Lonchura striata: one gene and its partners. The protein of the gene in region 1 binds, or shares a complex with, the protein of each later gene. Links are inferred from orthologs where the notes say so. Each region holds a gene or a part of one and is shown on either strand. Other genes may lie near its edges.

Region 1 (7,298 bases):
GCTTGCTAAGGCCTTTTGAGACTTGAATTCTTACTCTGTGAGCAAAGACCTCTCTAGGCAGGATGGTTCAGCCAGCCCTGGGCCCCAGTGCTCATCCGAGGGGGATGGTGGTTGCAAAATTATGTACAGGACTGGTGAGGCCAGGGACTGACCTGGGTGCAGTGGGTAGGTCAGAGGAAGCCAGTGCTCATTCAGATTAGTTCCTCTGTCAGGCCAGACACAGAAGCTGAGTTAGGGAGAACCTGGTAAGAGCAACAGGAAGCCCTTTGATAGATATTAACTATAGAAAAATGGGTGGCAGTGGCCTGAGCTTGGCCTGTGCTAAGCTATTTTGGGTTCTTACTGCTCCTTGAGAAACCACCAGTAACTCAAAAGCAAACAGCTTGTGGCTATGGAAATAACTTTGAATGAGGTCACTGCAGACTTCTAACAGTAGGTGCATTCTGAAGAGAAAAGTTGCCCTTCCTTCCACTCATGAGAGAACTAGAAAATGTTGCTTAAGAAGACAGGACAAAAGCAGATGTAATGTAACAATCAGGATATATATTTATTTATTAATACTTCCAGTTTGAATGTTCCAACATTGTAGGATCCTGGTCGGAAGTTGCAGGTGCTCCTGTTGATTTCTTTGTTTGTTTGGAAAAGACAGTTCCTTTTACAACATTCCCTCTAAAAACAAATACTTCCCTCTTTGTGGAGCATAGGAGTAGTAGAGATGTCCTGTTTACCTCAGGAAGAGGTTTGAGATTTGCTGTAGGAATGAGGTTTGTGAGCTAAGAAAAGGCAGACAATGCTGGATTTGTCCACATTATATTTAGAACTGTATTTTATTGCTGGATTTTTGCTAGCAAGTTACATTCATGACCTCACTCATAAAGCACAGAGAAGTGAGATTTCTGGTGCTTGGCATTGGATAATCTGAGAAGGTCTCTGCTTAAACACAGCAGCAGAACTCCAAGATAAAGGGATTGCCACAAGCGTCCCAAGCTTGTTTTGCTGTGTTCTGCAGGGAGAAGGCAAACCCATGCAAATATGTGTGTGCTCAAAGTCTCCTGCTCTATCCCTGCAGGTTCTGGGGTGTTGGCTATTTTTTGTACTCAAAATCAGATCCTTAAATATCAACAGGCTGCTGCCAGCAGATCTGTAGGTACCCAAATCACCATAACAAATACCTTAATGCTGTTTCTAAATATTCTGACAACTGAAAGCTTGAAAGGAATGGGGTCAGATATGAAGTAGGGTAGATGTAGCTAACCTTCAGCTGGTCCCTGAATTACTGCTCTAAATACACTTCATTCCCAGAAGCTACAGACAGTATTCACATATCCCTTGTGACTTTCTAAACTTGTCTCATCTCCTGCTTGGAGGGGAGGAAGAGTAGGAAGGAAATCAAAAGGAGCATAAGCAGCTGCTTGCCTTGTGATTATTGTAATAGTTATGAAACAAACTTAGCTAACCTGCTTAGAACCAGACATTAACAAGAGTTTTTACAGAAAAGGATCCTTTAGGGATTTAAATATACTAAAAGCAACACAACAAAACAAACCTGAACAAATGGAAAGAAAAAATTTTTTCACTTGTTCCTCAAAATGTTTGTTCTTTGTGTGACACCATTTTCACAGCTGTATAATGTTTGAGAAATAGCTTTTCCTCCAGGGTTTGATTGGTTTGTTTGGGGTTTTTTTTTAAGAACTGCAAAATGTTTGTGCAGACTGATAAAAACTCTTCCCAGAAGGGGGAATGGTTAATCCCACAGTGGTTTTACAACACCCTTGTCTCTCAGAAGGGCTGTAGGAGGGGTGGGAGGGGGGCACTGTAACATCCCTAAAGTGCACAGGAGTTCTTCTTGCCCTGCTCCCAAGGCAGGCCCTATATCCAGTTCCCTGCCAACCCTGCCATGGGACAGAAGGAAAAGCCTCTCCTTTCAAATGTGCTCTCATAGGGGGTTTTGCTGTTTTTTAAGTGAAGCTTGCAGATGTTTTTTACCAGACAGAAGGGGCTGCAGGTTGGGACTGGCTCTGGAGAAAATGCACAAAGCAGATTAGTGTTTTGAGTCAGGAATGGGTTGGAGCAAAGAAAAGTTAGGAGATTTTTTTTTTTTTTTAATGCTCTTAGTCACCAAAACTGGATTTTGGCAGATGCATTTTAAGTGCAGTTAAATTGTGTCTGATTGGTGAGATGATAATTCAGTGAGCTCTAAGCTAAAGAGCATTTCAGTGAGCAGGGTGTGGTAATAGGATGGCTTTTTCTGTGTTGGGGGAAGAACAAGTAAGGGATCATCTCCTCAGGGGAATCCTCATGGGCTCTGCATACAGCATGCTCCAAGGACTCTTCAGCATATTGAAGGGCCAAGGAGCAAAGGTCCAGAGAGGCAGCCAGTAGTTGCCTCTGAAATAATCCTTTCTTTGGGAGACCATGATCATGCTGCCAGATCCTGGGGATTGTTCAGCATCTCTAAGCTTTCAGACATATTTTTTCCTTCATAAAATTTGGGGGCTGGGAGTAAGAGAGACTGATGTATTGTAACAAAGACAGTAGATGTTTAATGACACTTCTGAACGTGGGATTTGTACCAACTACGTCCCTCTGAAATGTCAGAAATGAACGTGGGAGGAAAGACCGATTCAGACTTTCAGAGCAGCATTATGTCTTCAATGGAGATTTGTAGCTTCATCTACAGCCAAAAAGGAGAAGTGATGGGCACCCCAGCATAAGGCAAATTCTGTACTTTGCACAACCCAGGCCAGTGCACTCTTCCTCAGTTTCCTTTTACCTACAGCTCTTGAATCGCTTCTTCACATCCTCAGAGATGTTTTCTTTCATCCACACAAAATTTGTGGCTGGGTGCTTAAGGCATAACTCCATCTTTTGTCTGGGATTGCCAAACATCTGGCAGTCAGCTCAGCAGGCAAATGACAAGTACTTACAGGCAGTCACTGCATGTATAGCAAGTCATTTGTTAGACTAACTGTATATTCGCTGATCAACAACACAGCAGAGTACAGCACATCTGGGAAACACAGAAGTTACAGTGTGAGTGAGAAAAATGGGAGCATTAATTCTGTCCCTCTGTAGAACTGTTACTGACAGAACTTACCCCTAATTCAGAGAGAGGATTTTATGCAGTCAGTTCTCAGCGGTAAGTAATGCCTTTGTCTCTTACACAGAGCACCAGCCTCTGCTCTGCCCATAACTGGAGCTTCCAGCTTCACAGGAATAAAAATCACAAAACCAGCAGTCAGTTTATATTACACATATCACTTCAGGCGCTTCTGCTTTATGGTGCTTTTGTCTCCACCGACTTTCAGCTGGAATGGTATGTCCTTCGCTGTTTTGCAACTAGAGATAACTATGCTTTTGTCACATTCTTCCATTTCGCTCATGTGCTGGTTCCCACATGCGCTGCAAACGGGAGCTGGGCTGTGCCTCATCCTCCCGATGCTGTGTGTGTAGGGGGACAAACTGGGTTTGCTGTCAGGTTTGCTGTCAGGTTTGCTGTCAGGTTCTGCTCCCTGTGCCCCTGCCCGCTGCAGCTCACCCGCACCTCTCGGCTGGGGAGAGCCGAGCACAAAGGCTTGAGAGCCTAACTGCAAAGTCACATTGCTACAAACGCGGAGACGAGACAAACGCTGCCATTTCTTCCAAAATACGCAGCTTTATGCCCAGCTCTCATCCGCGGCGCCGCGGACTCCTCTGGCGCAGCGCTGTGCACTCGGGCCGGCCGGCAGCCGCCGCTGGTTGTGGCGGCAGCGTGCGGAGCAGTGTCGGTGCCCGTGCCTCGCTTGGTGCCGGCGGCAGGAGCCGGGGGCAGGAGCCCCAGGCGGGAGCCGGGGGCAGGAGCCCCAGGCGGGAGCCGGCAGCGGGAGCCCCGGCGGGAACCGGCAGCGGGAGCCGGCAGCGGGATCCCCGGCGGGATCCCCGGCGGGAGCCGGGAGCAGGAGCCCCAGGCGGGAGCCGGCAGCGGGATCCCCGGCGGGATCCCCGGCGGGAGCCGGGAGCAGGAGCCCCAGGCGGGAGCCGGCAGCGGGATCCCCGGCGGGATCCCCAGCGGGAGGCGGCAGCGGGAGCCCCCGGCCGCCGCCGGCCCCGGCGCGGGGATCCCGGGCACGGCCCGGGGCGCGGAGCGGCCGCTGGCCACGCCCCCTCCCTGCGCCAGCCAATGGGGTCTCGCCGCCGGCCGCGTGCCGGGAGGGGGCAGCCGGATCCTGCGGGGCGGGGCCGCCTTGGGGGCGTGGCCTCGGCGGAGCGGGCGGCTGCTATTGGAGGAGCGCGGCGGGGGCGGGGCGGCCGGCGGGGAGCGGGCGGGGCGGGCGCTCCGCGGCTCGGTGCGGGCAGCGCTCGGCGGCGGGAGCGGAGCGGGGCGGCCGCCCGGCAGGTGAGGGGCGGCGGGCACCGGGGCCGCGGGCAGGGGAGAGTGGGCGGCTGCTGCCGCCGCGCCCGGCCTGGAGCGGGGAAGCGCTGCCGGGGGTCAGCGGCCGGCGGCAGGTGCCGCCCGGGGACCGCGCTTTGTCTCCGCGTGGGGGGATGGGCGCGGCCCCTCCGGAGCGGCGGCGCCTCCCGGGCGGGGCGAGGGGGCTCCGGTGGGCTGGGAAACTCCCCGCTCCTGGCCGCCCCCCGCGGCGGGCTCTGCGGGGAGGAGGGCGGGGGTCCCGCGGCTCCGCGCCCGGAGGGGCAGCAGGAGCGGGCGGCGGGGCTGGCGAGCCCCTCCGGCGGCGGTGGCAGTGCCGGGATGCGGGGAGCAGCGGGACCGGGCGAGCCCCCCGCGGCCGGGGACGGCTCGGCGGGAGGCGGCACCGCGCCGGGCAGCCCGTGCGGCCGCGCTGGAAGAGCTGCCCGGCCCCGGCCCCGCTCCTCGGTGCGCACTGCTGGGTAATTCCTGCCGGTCGGAGAGCTCGTTTTCCACCTTGAGCGCATTCCTTTCGAAAGAGTTTGCAGCAAGTGTTTGGGCCCCTCTGAGCAGGTGTGTTTTGTGTTCCAGGAGTTGCAATTTGAGATCTTTATTTTTTTAAATCTAAACTTTCTGTGACTGCTGTTTTATCTCAGGGAGCAGTCTGGAACAGGAGTAGTCCTGGGAGAGTATGTGGAGTGCTGCTCTAGTTACAAAGAGGAAGGGGCTTACAACCCTGCGTGTTGTAAAACAGCGGGGTCAGTATTTTACTTAAACAAGTGCTCTATTCTGTGCAAGGCTGAATGTGATGTGCTCATTTGTGACCTCACTTTTTGAACAGGGATCACAGAAGTGCTCTGCCTTGTGTATGAAATGCAGAAATCGATGACTTATGTTAATGATGTGTCTGTGTGACATCGGGGAGCTAAGCCAGTGATGGAAGCATTCCCCCTGATTCAAGGGGAAGCTGATGCACTGAGATGTTTTGCATTGTAATGGGGAAATTGGTGTTTCCCCTTACTACAAATGGGGCATGGAATTTCACAGGTTTTAATAAGGTCACTTTGAGAGGCCAGCAATGCCTAGCAGAATCGCAGGAGAAGAGAGCAAACAAGTTATGGATTGAGAAGAATCTGGCAGAGAAGGTGACTTGTAGGTAGTTTGGTGCGGAGCAGACTATTTCTATGCACATCCACACCTGTGTACAGCTGAGCCAGAATCTGTAAGCCAGGGACTTGCCCTGAACTGAGATTTGGCCAGAAAGCATTTACTATAGCGCAGTCATATATGGAATTTTCTCTTTAAATTTCTTCCTAACACGTGAAAAGAGTTAGGTTAGTAATACGATTAACAATATTTAATAAGATTAAAATCACCAGCATAACCCTTGAGAAAGGTGGGTGCAGACTGTCAGCAGTTGACACTTTTAATCTCTGCTTTCTCTCATGTGAATGCTGTAAAGAGTTCAGGCTCCAAGACTCTGCTTGCTTTTCAGAACAGAAAAATTCTGCCCTCGCCTGCTGACAGCTCAGGTATTGCCTTACCTTTCATGTCCACCAACAGCATCATATTCCCAGCGGGGCCACGGGATGTTCCCATATAAGGGCAGAGGGAATAGCTGACAGAGGGCTGTAATGAGTGTGCAGAGCTGTTCCCTTCAGTGCCAGTCTTTGTGTGAAGCTGGGTTGTTGCTGGAGTGTTCCTGCTGCTGGCACGCTTGGGTTTTCCTGGCGATGCCAGCGGAGCCTGTAGGGACTAAACGAGTCTGAAAAGTATCTGTTGCTGCCGAAGGTGGCCCCGTGAGCCTGCAGAGAGGCTGCCTGCCAGATTAAGCAGTGCCAGTTGTTTGTTGGGTGTGCTCTGCAGGAAAAAGCACCCACCCAGGTTGCCTGTGTGGGGTGTGTGCTATCCAGCGCTGTCCAATAGAAGACAAAAGTAATTGCACTTTCTGTCTTCCACTCTTGCTGTTTGATTTCTGGAGAGTTTCTTTAGCCAAAGATGGGTATAGGGAAGCATGATGTCTTTTTCAGTGTACGTTTCAGTGTCTGCTAGAGAGGGAGAACAACAGACGAGGACAAGTTCAGAAGAAGATGAAGCAGCCACTCCCCAGAAATACTTGACATTTTTTTCTGGTAAAAGCTTTACTGCTGAATTGGGTAGTTTGACATTATTTCTCTTCTCTCATCTTTTTCTCTGTCTCTGTCCTTCCTGCTGCCTATCAAAGCAAACTCACAAGGACATCAGTTTCTTCTCCTCACTGACAGCTTCTCCATCTGTTCTGTTTTTGTTTGTAGCTGTTGGTTTTTTTCCTCCTGAAACTTCAAATTGTTTGTTGTAGCCAAGTTGTGAGCTGAACCCTCCCAAACTTGCATAAGGGCATCTTGGAGGAAGATGATAGGACTTTGATTCATCCCAGCTTGGAGGCTGTGCAGGGTGGTAGCAGGCAGAGGAGGCATGAGCCTGCCTGCTTCCTTGTAAGAATTAGCCCTCTAGATACAAGCTAGTTTCAGGAAGCAGGGCTTGGACTGGTGCCCTTTTTGCTCACCTGGATCTTCAGTGAAACGTCTTTGTGCTCTGCGTGCTGGGATCTGGTGTGTTCTACTGACTCTCCTTTGCATTCCCTATAATCTGTTAAAGCCCTGGATTTGATTTGCATTTATTTGTTGTTCTTGTGAGTATCTGATTGCAGGATTACTGTATCTGAAAGGATTCATCTTCTGCTGTTCATGAAAACCACAGGAGGGCTGCTTTTGCCTTTATGGGAATGTGCCAGCTGGTCTTTCATTGTGCTGGTATCATTTTCCCTGTCCTGTTACTGGAGGCGTCTTTGACCTGATGGTTGTGATGATGTCTTTAGAGAAGATTCATATTGATCATTATTTGAGCTTTGTCTGGTTTCATCTCAGTGCTG
Region 2 (7,071 bases), on another chromosome or scaffold:
CTTTTCCCCTCCAAGGTGTAAAGGTTTGGCAGCTGGCTTCCAAAAGCAGCAGAAAAACAGGAGCTGGCTGAGCAATTTGTACTGAGTGTAAAGAACTGTTCAAAATACCTGAACATTCTCTCACTGGCTTGAAATTGATGATTTGTAAGGAGCAAAAGAATCTTTATTTTTGTGGTGGAGCTCAGCGAAACTCAGCCGATTATCCCATCTGAAACACAAATTGAAATTTTTTTCTGAAAGAAAAATGCATCCAGGCACTGTTTATCCACACTTAAAACCTTAAAGCATCACTTTTTGCTGATTTTCCTCGCTGTTTATGCTGAGCTGACAGCGGTGCAAACCCCCCTCGGAGCTCCACGATCCCAAAGCGCTTGGAAATGCTTTTTTTTTTTCCCAAATTCCTGAGTTTTTACCTGCCCGGCAGCTCAGGTTAGAGGAGCCATTCGAGGCTTTCCCAGCAGATGGCAACAGCTCCTCGGTGCGAGCCTGGGAAAGGGGATTTGGCCAAAGAATCCTCACACTTTATAAATTTATTTTTACAGGAGCCCCTCTAAAGCACCTCCAAGGATCTAACCGTTATTTTAAGGCAAAATAAGAATGGAATTGTACTCCTTAGGAATGAAACTCCTCAATTTTAGGGTCCTGCTTAGCTCTGCTATGGACTAAAAAAACAGATGGAGGAGGTTGATTAGAGAATCACAAAATGGTTTTGTGTTGGAAGAGACCTCAAAGGTCATCTTGCTCCAACCCTCCTGCCATGGGATGGTTCTGTGTGTAAATTCAGATCAAGTGACAGCTTCAGAGCGCCAAAAAAAAAAAAAAAAAAGTAATGGGCACACTGTAATTACTTATTGATTTCCCTACCCCATATTTCAGGCTGTAAAACAGAATTATCATAAATGGACATCTATCTTAATCTAAATATGTAACCAACTCCCTCCAAAAAAAAAAAAAAAAATCAGCATTTGCAGAGAAGAGAAGTAGAAAATCTATGTCTTAGGATTTCCTCCAGCTAATTGTTCTCGTTATGTTGTCATGCACAATAAAATATAATTAAAGTAATAAAAAAGCATTGAGGCCTAATATGCAAATGCTGGGCCTGCCAGGAATCAGATCTCCCAGGATCTTTCCCCTCTCCAGGCACAGTACTCGATGTTCCCAAAGTTAAAAGCAGGGAGGGATTTATTGCAGAGAAGATGCAATAAAGAGATATATAATAAATAAATATAGATATATGGAGGCATTCAGTCACTTCATCAGCACTGATGACTCTATTGCACACAGCTGCAGAAGGAGAGGCAGACGTGGCCGCTTGTCTCACACTCCCACACTTTATTTATTTATTTTTCCCCCCACCAAGCCTCCGTTTTCCCCAAAAGGAAACCAAAAAAGGAAGTATAAATGTCCTGCGCATATATGTGAAATATCATGTAGAAAATGATTTCATCCCACGCTTCCCCTCTTTGCTCTGAACTCCATCAAAACAACAAATTCTTCGGGCGCTCAGACTTCGGGCTGCCGGCTTCCTGATGCGCGCGGCGAGCAGGACACAGCTCCGTGTTCCAGAGGTACGGTCCCGTGTGCCCAGCCAAAACCTTTCTTTTCCAGCCTCTTTCCAAGTCCAGTGTCCCAGCTTTGAAGTCTATCCCGGCAAGATTAATTAAAGGGAAGAAGCGTGGTGTCCTAGATGATTGGGATTAGCTAATAAGGTTATTTTAGTCTGCTGGCATTTTGCTGGAGGAGGCTGATGTTCTGTAAGTTCCTTTGTGCAGAGGGGCAGGAATTACTGGCAGGGGAGATATCCTGCTTTTCATTCCACATCTGTGCTGCTCACGAGCTTTCATTTCTGGAGGAGTAGCGTGGAAGTTTCCTGAAGTCCTCAGGTGTAGATGTTATTTCCAGGTGTTTGAGAACAAGTGGCTTGTAGTGCCAGGACAAGGGGGAACGGCTTCACACTGACGGAGAGTAGCTTTAGGTGGGATATGAGGAAAAAATAATTCCTTGTGGGGGTGGTGAGGTTGCCCAGAGAAGCTGTGGTGGATCCTTGGAAGTGTTCGAAGCCAGGTTGGAGGAACCTGGGATAGTGGAAGAAGAACCGTGGCAGGGGGTTGGAACAAAATAATCTTTAAGATCCCTTCCAGCCCAAACCATTCTGGGATTCTGTGCAGACTTGAAACAGGAATTTCTCTCTCAGACCGTGTACATGAACAGCAGGGAGTTACAGCAAGGACATGTTTGTGTTCAGCCTGTGGCCGAGAGAAGGAAATCCTCACCTGCTAAAATTTAAATGCCCCAACACCCCGCGTGGCTCATCTTTTGGCACTGGAAGTTTTGAAGGGGAGCAGGAACAGGCCCTTGGCCGCAGTGTTTCTGGAATGTACGTGCAGGGAGGGATCAGTTCTTGGATTTATGCTGCCCTTAACCTCCAAGAAAAAATTCCCTTTGAAACTTGCGTGGGAAATGCGGGGAACGCGGGATGGGACAACGAAAGGCCTGGGAGTGAGCAGCACAGCCCGAGGCTCCGCGCTGCACAGCTCCTGGCACTTCTACTCTTTTAATTTGCTGCTTATTTATTTTCTTTCTGCTCCAAGTTTCGCCGGTGTCATATTTTCCATGGAGATGGAGGCGCGGGCGCTCCCTGCCCTGAGCGCTGGTGACACGGCAAAGTGTCGGATAGCAGGGGATGGGGAAAAAAAATAGGGAAAAAAGGGAAAAAGGGATAGAAGGAAAAGGGAAACCTCCTCGGGCTAGGGATGCAGGGGGATGGGGGAAAACGGAAAAAGGGAAAAAGGGGTAGAGGGAAAAGGGAAACCTCCTCGGGTTAGGGACGCAGGGGGATGGAATACTGTTGGGCAGGGGATGGGGAAATATGGAAAAATGGAAAAAGGGATAGAGGGAAAAGGGAAACCTCCTCGGGTTAAGGACGCAGGAGGATGGGGAAAAATGGAAAAACGGGTAGAGGGAAAAGGGAAACCTCCTCGGGTTAGGGACGCAGGGGGATGGAAAGCTGGGACACAGGGAGAGGGAGAAGCGGCCGCCACCGAGCGGAGACGAAAGGAAACAGCCCGCGGGTCTGGAAAACGCTTCCCGAAGGGAAAAGGCCTGGGCAGGGACCGGGAAAGGGCTGCGAGAGAGGAGGAGGAGGAGGCAGAGAAGGAGGAGAAGGAAGGGAAGGAGGAGAAGGAGGGGAAGGAGGAGGAGGAGAAGGAGAAGGAGGAGAAGGGGAAGGAGGGGAAGGAGGAGAAGGAGGAGGAGGAGAAAGAGGAGGAGAAGGGGAAGGAGGAGAAGGAGGGCAAGGAGGAGAAGGAGAAGAAGGAGGGGAAGGAGGAGGAGGAGAAGGAGGAGAAGGAGGGGAAGGAGGGGAAGGAGGGGAAGGAGGAGAAGGAGAAGGAGGGGAAGGAGAAGGAGGGGAAGGAGGGGAAGGAGGAGGAGGAGGAGAAAGAGGAGAAGGAGGGGAAGGAGGAGAAGGAGGGCAAGGAGGAGAAGGAGAAGAAGGAGGGGAAGGAGGAGGAGGAGAAGGAGGAGAAGGAGGGGAAGAAGGGGAAGGAGGAGAAGGAGGGGAAGGAGGAGAAGGAGGGGAAGGAGGAGGGGAAGGAGGGGAAGGAGGAGGGGAAGAAGGAGAAGGAGGAGAAGGAGGAGAAACAGGAGAAGGAAGAGAGAGGGAGGAGGAAGAGGAGGAAGAGGAGGGCGGGCGGCGGAGGGATCCGGCGGCGGGGCGGAGCGGCCGGAGGTACGAGCCCCCCGGAGGCGCCGGGGAGGGGCGAGCCCGGCCCGGCCCGGCTCGGCGCAGGCTCCCGGGACGCGCCGCTGCCGCCTCGCCCAGCCGCGCAGCGCCGGGGCCGCCAGCGGGCCGGGAGAGCAGCGCGGCGCAGAGCGGCGCAGGGCCGCAGCGAGAGGCCGAGCGGCGGGGCATGGAGCCCCGGGCCTAGAGGCGGCCGCCCTGCCCGAGCCCCGCGGGCGAGGCCGGGCGGGCAGCGGGGATGGGCCCGGCCGCGGGCGGGGAGCGCCGCCCGCCCCCCGAGCGCAGCCCCTGAGCCCGCACGGGCCCCCGCGCTCGGAGCATCGCCCGCCTCTTCACGAGGGTTTCTTCTTTTTTCCACCCCCCGCCCGCGTCCGCCGAGGTTGTTTTGTTGATTATTTTTGTTGTTGTTGTTGTTGGAGTTTTTTTCCTTGCTGGAGTTTTTGCTTTATCCCCCCCGCGCCCCACTTCCGTGGTTTGGATATTCTGGGTGACTGCAAAGAAGAGTTTTGGAGTTGTTTTGGATTGGGTTTGGTTTTTGTTGGTTCTTTTTTTTTTTTTTTTTTTTTTGTTCCCTTCTCCTGCCCTTGAACTGAGTTTGTCCTCTGTGCATGCCTCTTCTGGAGCAAGGCTGGATCCTGAACCTCGGTGCATGTAAGGGGCAAAGCCTCGTTCATATTCCTGCAAGAAGAGTAAAATGTAAATTGGATAATACGACTTCTTGCCAAAGGCTCCAATGAGTGGCACACAGTCCACAATCACGGACAGGTCAGTATAAAATGAGATTCCTTGATTTTTTTTTTTTTTTTTCCTTTTTTTGAAGTGTGACTACCCGCAGAGCTCACGTACTTCGTGTTCTGGCTTCAGTGACAGACGGGATCAGAAAAGCAGGATTAAATCAGAGGCTCTGGGAGCCAAGGGTGTCTTGACTGTCAAAGCGACTGGGTTGACTTTGAAAGCGGAGTATTTCAAGTCCAACAGCTTTCAGGCCTGCCAGGCTGACTTTGTAGGAGCCAGGGGTGCTAACTCAGCTCCCAGGATGGGCTGGTGCTGCGGGGAACACCGAAAGCAAGGGTTCCTGCACGGAGCTGGAGCAGCAGAAGCCACCAGAATTTAGTATCCAGCTCAAGCCTGAGCTGGGAGAGCGTGTTGAGGATGCACTTGGGTCTCCTTGGGTCAAGTACTGCGGAGAGGTCACTCCAGGTGAGGGCAGGAGGGAGAGTTGACAAGCAGGAATGTCTGCTGGTGTCTACCTTAGCAGGAACCTGCCTTCAGATACCTGCTTGAGCCTCTGGGCTGCTCTGCAGGTGCCTTTCATTACCTCTGCAGTTCTCTCGTTTGCACTGAGGTGTTTCAGAGGAAGGGATAAAAAATGTGACAAAAAAAAAAAAAAGTCAAGAAGGAAACATTTTAACGTGCTTTTGGGGCGAATGAGTGCCTTCAGATTTTTTTTGGATGGGAAGGAAAGATACCTTTTTTGACACAGTATGCTGTAAGAACCATTTAATGTGTTTTTTTGTATCTGTATAGTGTCTGGCTGGTGGTTAAGGTGTGAATGAGTGTGGCAAAGGCCTCGCTTTGGCCTTTCATGACCAAGCAGTTCTGGCACAGCAGCGAAGCTGGGGCTGGGATGGAGCAGTGATGCTTTTGGGGGCTTGAGCTCACCAATTTTAGGCTCCAGGTGCAGGCAGGAGAGAGTCTGAGTGTGGTTCTCACTTAAACCCGGCCTTTTCGTGACTCCACAAGTCAGCCCAGTCCAAAGGGCTCTGGGACAGCTCAGACTTGTGTACAATCTGTGTTTACAACTGTTCACAGAGTATTCAATCTTGGCAATTAATTCTGTAGTTTGTACGAGTGGAGTTTTCTCTTTTGCAGTGCATGAATGATTCTTGGGTTGCAGGATGTTTTTCTCTGTAGCAGGCGAGGCAATGACAGTAAAAAGGCATTTCAGTGGATTTGTGAGGATTTTGTTACATACTTCAGGCCATATGTCTTGTGGCAGTTGCATGATATCAAAAAGAACGACAGGATTTTCATCCCGAGGAGCAGCTGAGTGATGCACGGAAAGGAAAAACACGAGAACAGGGAATTTAATTTACTTGTTAGTAAAACAAAATACTTTCCATTATTGAATTGGAGCAGCCAAATAAAAAATGTCTCATTTCCTTTTGCTCTCAGTCATGTCAGGAGGATGTTTCTGTTTGGTGTTCCATTAAGGTTTTGGATCAAAAGGCTTTTAATGTCAGGTGAGGAGCTGTGCCCACAACCCTTGGATTTCTGGGATGGCTGGGGGAATGTGGAGAAACTGGATCTCTTCTTGTCACTATTTTCCACCTCTGGCCTGAAGCAGCCCCAGCTCTGGGGTACAAAGTCATGGTCGTGGTTCTGCCAGGAGAAGAGAAGCTTTGGGGTGGCCTGCCAGGACCTGAAGGAGCCTACAGGGAAGATGGAGAGAGACTATTTTAAAAGGTCTGGAGTGACAGGACAAGGGGGAACGGTGGAAAACTCAGAGGAGGGTTAGATTGATGGTGAGGATGGTGACAGGGTGCCCCTGGATCCCTGGAAGTGTCCAAGGCTGGAGCACCCTGGGGCAGTGGAAGGTGTCCCTGCCCATGGCAGGGGGATGGGAAAGAGATGGGATTTAAGGTCCCTCCCAGCCCAAACCATTCTGGGATTCTCTGATGATTTCTGATTTATTCCCTGGCTGAACCTTTCAGCAGAACCCCAGATGTGGTGGTCGTGTTTGTCCCGATCTCTGCCGTTCCTTTTCATCCCCAGCATTGTGCAGGATTTGATCACTCTTGTCCCTGCAGAACATTCCCCTTTCCCTTCAGGCCCAGGGACTTTCTGTGTTGCCTTTTTCAATCTGCCTCTAGAGCTTAGAATGTAAAGCAGGTGCAATATAAATAATGATGCTTCCACTGTCATTAGATCCATAAATCATCTGACATGTTCAATTCTCTTTGTGTTTGTCAATCACCTTCCTTGGTGGGATTGAGATGGGAATTGCCTTAAACCAGGAAAACCCAGTTTGCATCCGTGCCAGATGGTATTAGGAATATAATAGGGTAGCTTGGGCCTAGATTTTTCTCCATATTAGCTTTACATATTTGTATTTAGCATATATAGAGCTGCCTAAATCCACATTACAGACAGCAGATATTTCCTTTGCTATCCCTGCAATTTAAGGCAGTAATGATTTGACAGCTGTCACATTTCCCTTGTGCAGGTTGCACTTGTCTAATCCTTGACATATTTTATATCTCTTGATATAAATGATCACCATTAAATATAGAAATTAGGAGTGTATGAATGGCCATTTCTAATGCTGT
Region 3 (7,637 bases), on another chromosome or scaffold:
TTTAAATCACAGAATAAGAATTCAACAAGACCCAACATTTGGAAGCACTGGAGGCTTAAAAGACATGTTAGTCAACTTTGGTAATTATTTCATTACCTTTGCACAGCAAAACCTGGCGTAAGTAACTTCACCTCTGCACATTCAGAACTTTATATTCTGGTTACCTACAAAATCCCTATTGCAACAACTAGCTTGGAATTCCCTTTTTCCTGGAGAAAACCAAAGCTAAAAACAATTGGTGGAGTTCCAAGGTAATGTAAGTATGATAGAAATGCTCCAAGATTTTATTTCTACTGATTTAGAGTCCTATTTTAAAAAGCCATCCTTAAAAATGAGATTATGGAACAACCACCTATCAACTTATTCAACACCTTCTGCAAAGCAGGTGACATATGCAAGTATTAAATCTAATGCTAGCAGCCCAGAATAAGAACTGATTTTGACATGGACTGAAAGAGACCTCCCACTTGCTTCACTGCAAGAGAACAGCTAGGAAAATGCATTTTAAAACAAAAATATTCATTTAGCACACACCCCCTAAAACAGCTAGGAGAGAGGACAAGAGTGTGCTGCAGAGCAAGCACAGTGCAGCCTTCAACTCCACCCAAGTGGCCTTCAGCAAATGACAGATCCTCTGGAGTTCTCCAGCTCGCCCCAGCAAAAGGCTGCATGGAGCAGGGAACTTTGAGGCTCAGCTGCTCAGGAGGCAGGCCAATATGGGATGCGCCAGGGCATCCAGAACATCTCTTCTGTTTGCAGGACCTCTTAGTGGTATAAATCCACACATTTTGGCAGGGTACTGCTGTATCCATACAAGGTTAACAAGAAAAGTTATCAAGTGTTCAATGTGATAGCTGTTTATGCAGGGACTGGGCTGGGGGGGAGGAGAGGAGACTGAATCATAATACCAGCAGAGAGATGGCAACACAGCATATTAAATTAAGCCTGTGGGCACACCTGTACTTAAGTGTCCAGAAAAACCTATGAATCAGTGTTCGAGTTTCGAAACAGAACCATTCATATCAAACACTTAATTTGTTGTGGAAGTAGCTACTGCCCTCCCCACTAGCTACAATGGTTTTTGCTTCTTAAAAAAACACAAGAGAAATTTAAAAACCAGTATAGACCTATTTTGGTAGGTATGAATGGAAGCAGCTTTTGTCAGCAGACTCTGTAGCAATCCTGGATCACAGATAAAGGTATATAATGTAATCATTTCAGAGGAGGAGAGAGATGGTGAAATACTCCCTCTACACACCAAGAGATGATAGTAAAGACAGAGTTCATCTGTCAATCCTCTAAGAATATAAACGCAGTAACACATTCCCATGCCATCCGTTTGCTTCCAGTGGAAATAGCCACCTATAACTCATCTCTGCTACCAGAAAGAATGAGTGGCCATCCATACATGGCCTGCTCGTCCCAGGCAGCACACGGTACAAACACTCCTCCCTACGTACAGTGTTTCACCCGACACGAGCCACTCGGCTCTCCCTTACAATGCCCCTTTCTGACTCCGTTTGTAAATGATACTCCCACTCCGGCTCGGCCTCCACATTCGCCATCCACGCAGCCAGCACAGCTTCCTTTAGGCGCACTTGCGTAATTGCCTGAGCTCGCACTCTTTCTAATAAAAGAAGTCATTAAACTGTTCTCTAACAAAACCTTCATACAGGTATCCAAAAGGGAGTATGAGATCAGTAGCTATTTCTGAGCCTGATGGGCACACAGCATTCAAAAGACGTGTGCTAATTACTGTGAGAATTCTAATTTTGTTTAAAAAAGATGCATTATTGCTACATTGATTTTCAGAGCTACTAGAAATACCTGAGTGCTATAAACTTAAAGGTTTAAACATTTTTAAGCCGAAGTAACTCTCCGTAAGAGGTACATGACAATAAAGACATGAAGGAAAATAGGAAAATGTTTCAGCATTAAACCGGAAAGCAGACTTCAAAAATCCCTTCAATCTACAGATCCATCAGGTTCCGGACTACACCAGGGCAGGATCAAAATTCTACTCCCCTCCCTGCTAAAGGCAGTCATGTAATAGAAAGGACCTGCAACAATGAAGTTACCACGGCTGCATTCATCCACTCAAATCCTCTCCCTTAAACGCCCATGATGCGTATTTGTGTATACGCAGAAAACACCACGCAATAACCCACACCTCCGGGAAGCAGTGAAGACATCCTCTCGGAATTAGCCGAAAAGGCAAATGGGGACAGAAGACACTCTCTTCACACGTACCTTGCAAACTCAGCACCTCCGCGGAGACCCGATTCAAACTCTCCTGACAGCTAAAAAATAAAGCAGCACATAACAGCGCTTCAGAACACGTGCAGCCGGTTACCCGACAGCAAGCACCCGGTATCGCGCACGGCTCTTCGCTCAGCGAGGGACGGCGGCTCCCAGCAGACAGCGGCCTCCCCGAAGCGCCGGGACACACTCCTGGCAACCTGAGCTGCTGGCCCTTGGAAACCGACTGCTCCTCAGCCGGGCGAGAACGCCCCGCATCCATCCTCACCACCCTCGGCCGCGCCCCCGCCCCCGCGGCAGGTGCGGCAGGCGCGGACGGCGGGGCCCCGACCGCCACCCCGGGCACGCACCTGGCGGAGCCGCAGCCGCCCGCCCGTCGCCGCCGGAGTCAGCGGGGCTCGGAGGGGGGGGAGGAAAAGCAGATTTATAAACCTGGCAGCCCTCGCTCATTTGCTACGGCTGCAGGCTCCTCCTCTCGTCTCGCTCCGGCCCCGTGGCCGGCGGGGGCTGCCAGCGCCCTCGCCCCCCGCCCGAGCGCGGCGGCGGCCGGGCCCCGTCAGGCGGCAGGACGGGCTGCGTTCCGTAGGGGCGGCCGCGCCGCCCGCGCCCGGCTCCCGCAGCCCCACCTCGGCGGGGCCGGACGGTCGCTGCCCCAGCGACGGAACGCTCCCGCCCGCCGCCTCCCGCGGCCCGGCCCGCCCCGCCGGGCGCTCCTACCTGCGGGGCGCTGCGGCGCTCCCCTCGCACGGCCCCCGCCCGCCTCGGCGCCCTCCCCGCGGCTGGGGCTGGGCCGGCGCAGCCCCCTCCTCCCGCGCCGCTGGGGGCAGGCCGGCGGCGGGAGCGGCGGCGGCGGCAGGAGGAGGAGGAGGAGGAGGAGGAGGAGGTGTAACAAGTTTGGGTCGCCCCGCAGTATGGCGGCCGAGCGGAGCTGGGGGCGGGCCCGGCTGGGCTGGCTCCCGGGGGTTTGGCGGGGGCCCGAGCCGCCCTCAGCTCGGTGGTGCTCGGCCCTTCCCCCGCGGGCGGCGCGGCCCCGTTAACGGCGGCGGCGCTGGGACACCAGCCGGCCTCGGCGGCGGCGGAACCGCTGCCCCCGCCCGTCCCTGGGGCTGTCCCTGCCGAAAGCAGGTGCGGCGTCCCGCGGCTCGGCCGGGCCGGAGCCGCCGCCGCCCTCGCACCCAGCGCCGCTTGTCGCGTTCCGCCGCTCCTCCTCCGCCCCTCCGCGGGCACGGGGGATCCGCTCGCCGCAGACCGCAGGGAAAACCGCACCTGGGATCCAGCCTGGTACCATGGGAGTGAAATAACTCGTGTCATAAGCCGTTGCTACTAGAATTACTGCACCTTAGAGGCATAGGTGCGCTTAGGTGACTGCTCGGCGGTATATGAAAGGAGGACAGAAAATAGGTCAGTAAATGCACAGATCTCACCCGCGGTGATCCTGCTGAGTCACTGATGAGCTATTGATTACCGTCATGTCCCTGCACGCCTGGTGTGACTGTTCAGATGAATGGCATGGACCGACACATGGGTCTCTGGTTTTGGATTGGGGTTTGGTTTGTTTTATTGCTGCGGAACAGGTGATACCAGTGTCATGAAATTGCCATAGTTTGGTTAGCAGTAGTCATTGAAGCAAGACTGGACAAAATATTTAGCTTGTCAGACAATAGCACTTGCTTTACTGCCTGACCTTTAAATTCCGGCATTTCACAATACTGTATTTTTACAATAACATGCTAGTCAATCTCTAATAATTCATATTAGCTGTAGGTAAGAAATAACATCAGGAAGAAATCATTGAGGAGATCTAGCCTCTTAAAGCATGGAGGCATGGTAATAACTTCAGATTAAGGAAGTTACATGCAAAGCAACCTTGATATTTCAGGGTCTACGAAATGGTAGCATCTGAAGGAGGCTACTAGCATAGCCGGCAAACAGTCTGTTGTGTGGTAAACAGTGGGAAACGAGTTTTCCTGCACTACATTTTCAAAATGGTGATGTAACAGTCCATCTTAACAATGGATAACCAGTGTTCATCACGCCATTGACATCAAATATGGTCGTAATGCCATCAAAACATTGGATGTGAAGCATGGAAAAGAAAGTAATCATACCCATAATCATCTGGGAGATGGCAGCAGGAGCGGCTGAGAAGACATGGTCTGCAAGGAAGGGGCAGAACCACTTCTGATGATTAACCTGAGTCCGAAAGGGGCATAAATGAGAGGGTGAAATGAACCCGTGCCAGAAAATCCTTGCTGAAAATACAGTAGCATGGTAAAAAATCCTTATCATACTGTATTTGGTAAATTGCCATAATTTATACCATCAGAAGATTAACCTGCATCTCCACTGGGACTCACTGCTGGTATTAATATGCTGACAAAACCCTCCAGTGTAGACAAGACTTTAAGCATGTCCTGAGGGAATACAACTATGAAATTATATTACAAGGGAAGAAACAAAGATGCTTTTTTAATCTCTCATTTTACAGAATCTAGACTTGGGCAATTCTTAGCTCTGAGTAGAAAAATCACAGGGATTTTGTCAGGTTTCCCCATGAAGCCTGCAGTCTGTACAAATTTCCAAAACCAGGGAGTGGCACAAGGGAACTGGAGCAAAGGCTAGCACAAACACAAAATTCCCATTATTTCTGACTCTATCCAAGTAATACGTCATTACCTTTTAAGAATTATATTGTTAATTTTTATGAAGTAGCTTTCAATCTCCATTCTCAGTGAAACCTGGAGAGTCTTACAGACTTGAAGGTTGGAGGTGAAACAAGGAATTGATATTTGTACCTTGTCAAATGGCAAATTCTCAATCACATTTAGACCCTTCTTTCAAGTATATATTACCAAATGGGATTTGATGGGAAAAAGAAAACACTAGTAATAACAGTGTTGGGAACTTACAGCTGGTACCATGAATTGCACCACTGAAAATTCCTTTTGGTTACAATTATAAGTCATTTATTTCACAGGAATAAAAAACAAATGGCCTCTGACACAGATTTGAGAAGTTTCCAGAGGTCTGTAATGCTAATCTGGGTTGTATATTAATCTGAGCTAGTGATGTAGGGCTGAAGACACTGGTCCTCATAGTAATTATAACTGATTTTGTTTTCCAAAAAAATATAATAATCTCCCAAATGCTGCATGCTGTTGCAATGAGATCAAATAATGAACAATTGTTAATACATGTCCACATCAATTCCATAATGGGTATTCCAAGGACATGGAGGAAACATGCTTTTAAAAACCTTTACTATAAGCATAATAAAGTCTAATCTTCAAAAGGACACATAATGCTTTCTGCAAAGTAATAGTATATAAAGACTGCCTCAGTCCTAACACATTTACTTCAGACAATGTGTTGGGGTTGAATATACAGACAGGTATTTTAAGTCTAGGCAAGCTGTGTCAAATCTGTGCCAGGAAAAATAAATAAGCAATTAAGAAAGAAAAAGGGGTTAAAGAAAGCTGTAACAACTGATGGTGCTCTTAAACCTGCAGTCCTTAATTAAACTCACAAACAAATAGGCTGCAGGATAGAAGATACAGGAGCAGAGTCAGGACTGAGAGAGACTAAAACTGTCTCAGAAGCCAGGTCTGAGGCTGAGGGCAGGTCTGTCCAAGAGTGAGTGAGTGAACAGGTGGTAGGTTTTTAGTAAGTCAGTGAAAAGGGCATTGAACATGCCCAGAGGTTTGCAAACCGATACATAATACAGGGAATAGGTCAGTAGCAGGGTGCGTGAGAGAATGAATAGATGAGAGAATAAAGTAAAAAATAGTTGGGTTGAATGAGTGCAACTGTGAACAATTCTGAATAAAGTCAAGGTTTCAAGCTACACCTTTATATTGCTATGATGGCGTGACTTTTCAAATCACTCATCATTGATATAAGCCAGCATTAGAGGAAAAGAGCACACATTGCTGAAAAAAAATCCCTTTTCACTACCAATTTTGGGAAAATAACATAATAAAAATAAAGATTTAAAATACATTTTACAGTCATGACAATAAAAACAGTTTTGGAAACCTTAGTACAGAAAAGTAAGCACACAAAAGGCATCTAAAAGCATTGTCCAGTAAATTAATATTGATTAACATTATTAAGCTACTAGAATTGACATAGATGTAAAATTATTTGCAGAGCAGGAAGATGCCATTAACTGTCCTAGTTAGGAACCTGATACACAACTGCTCAAAGTGATTTGTGCAAGATTATACAGTAGGTGAGTGACAGAACCACAGATGGATAAAGCCTTGACCTTTTACTTTTGTATCCTCCCCATCAGGCAGAGAAAATGCATTGACTTCACTTTGCAATTACAGAGGCAGTGAAACTAAATTATAATAGTCAAGGAGTTTTATCTCCTGACCTTGGGGTTTTTTGGGTTTCTTTGGGCTGAAGACTTCCTATATCATTATGGATAAACATGGCAATTATACACTCAGAGACTTTAAAACTGTCCCTGTATTTACCATGTTTGTATGCCTAAGACAGGAGAAGAGGGAGCTAAGTAAATGCTACACAGACATCTGCATTTAGATGATGTAGAGTAGGGGAAGTGCATGTCTGGATGACGTGGCAGAGGAAGAAGGTCTTTTTCTCTGCCTTTGGTGGATCTGTGTGGCTAAGAGCACTGTAAAGGTCACAGAGAATATTTTCCATTTCATTTCCTAATCTGGAATAACAGATTTAGGGGAGCTACACTGTAGGTTAATGTCTAACCATTAGTTAGACATCTGCAGTCTAGTCTATTAAATGTCACAGCACAGCCTGTTAGAAAGTTTGCTAAAAGGATAAGGGACATGGTGGATTTGGAGAAGGATTGCAAAAGTGGTAGGGATTCCTCTCATTCTGATGCTGGGTCAGCATTTGTATTTTACAATGAGATATTACTAGCAAGTTACATTAATAACATACTTTGCTCATAGGCAAAACAACAGCAACAAATATTTTGTGTTTTCACTTACCAGTGTCCAAATATGGAGCCTGTAAGTCTTACACCAACAGCTCAGTTATGTGCATGCTTACAAAATTAAGAAACTAACCAGTCCAGTGGTCTTTTCGTAGGAAGATGGCATGGAAAGACTTAGAATCAACAATCAATGAATAAAAAATGAATGATAAAAGACGCTTTATCCACTCTACATGGCGGAAGAAGTGCATGGCCTAGAGAAGGCCATGTTTATTAATGAGAAAAATAATAAAAAAGGTGTCAGCAGTGCTTACCTCAGGGGACAAGGTCAATGAGGCAACATCAATAATGGAGTACATTAAGAATAATGAAGAAACTAAAACTCAATATATTGTTTTTATGTTTTTTGAAAATGCATTTACATTTCCAAAAAGATCAAAGTAATGAAAATTGTTTA

What was found.
Region 2: the proteins of PLXNB1 (region 1) and ARHGEF12 are in contact, whole or in part, in an NMR structure (PDB 2OS6), measured with the Homo sapiens proteins. The link is inferred for Lonchura striata from reciprocal best matches to the Homo sapiens genes PLXNB1 and ARHGEF12. Residues at the interface, in NP_001123554.1 of Homo sapiens: Glu2129, Lys2131, Val2132, Thr2133, Asp2134, Leu2135; in NP_056128.1 of Homo sapiens: Phe82, Gly83, Leu84, Thr85, Val86, Ser87, Gly88, Asp89, His127, Val131, Lys135.
Region 3: the proteins of PLXNB1 (region 1) and SEMA4D are in contact, whole or in part, in a crystal structure (PDB 3OL2), measured with the Homo sapiens proteins. The link is inferred for Lonchura striata from reciprocal best matches to the Homo sapiens genes PLXNB1 and SEMA4D. Residues at the interface, in NP_001123554.1 of Homo sapiens: Leu80, Pro81, Pro82, Glu87, Arg136, Pro137, Gly138, Asp139, Thr140, Tyr142, Gly178, Glu202, Lys205, Ala207, Gly209, Arg210, Ser212, Glu213, Arg235, Arg242, Asp359, Val360, Asn361, Ser362, Leu367, Pro368, Thr371, Tyr375, Ser379, Asp380; in NP_001358123.1 of Homo sapiens: Glu99, Lys100, Gly101, Phe158, Tyr179, Phe181, Leu182, Gly183, Ser184, Arg198, Tyr201, Ile203, Glu208, Val240, Leu264, Arg265, Thr266, Leu267, Gln268, Lys270, Thr347, Gln350, Ser351, His352, Thr353, Asp388, Gln392, Lys395.

The regions. Positions count from the first base shown.
Region 1 is NC_134614.1:15,164,791-15,172,088, forward strand, and holds the start of PLXNB1 (plexin-B1), read left to right. Parts: upstream 1-4,291; 5' UTR 4,292-4,375; intron 4,376-7,298. UniProt on the Homo sapiens protein: Receptor for SEMA4D. Plays a role in GABAergic synapse development. Mediates SEMA4A- and SEMA4D-dependent inhibitory synapse development. Plays a role in RHOA activation and subsequent changes of the actin cytoskeleton.
Region 2 is NC_134625.1:8,620,864-8,627,934, reverse strand, and holds the start of ARHGEF12 (rho guanine nucleotide exchange factor 12), read left to right. Parts: upstream 1-4,024; 5' UTR 4,025-4,475; coding exon 4,476-4,507; intron 4,508-7,071. UniProt on the Homo sapiens protein: May play a role in the regulation of RhoA GTPase by guanine nucleotide-binding alpha-12 (GNA12) and alpha-13 (GNA13). Acts as guanine nucleotide exchange factor (GEF) for RhoA GTPase and may act as GTPase-activating protein (GAP) for GNA12 and GNA13.
Region 3 is NC_134642.1:8,237,345-8,244,981, reverse strand, and holds the start of SEMA4D (semaphorin-4D), read right to left. Parts: upstream 3,048-7,637; 5' UTR 2,977-3,047; intron 2,628-2,976; exon of another isoform or gene 2,610-2,627; intron 2,569-2,609; exon of another isoform or gene 2,301-2,568; 5' UTR 2,251-2,300; intron 1-2,250. UniProt on the Homo sapiens protein: Cell surface receptor for PLXNB1 and PLXNB2 that plays an important role in cell-cell signaling. Regulates GABAergic synapse development. Promotes the development of inhibitory synapses in a PLXNB1-dependent manner.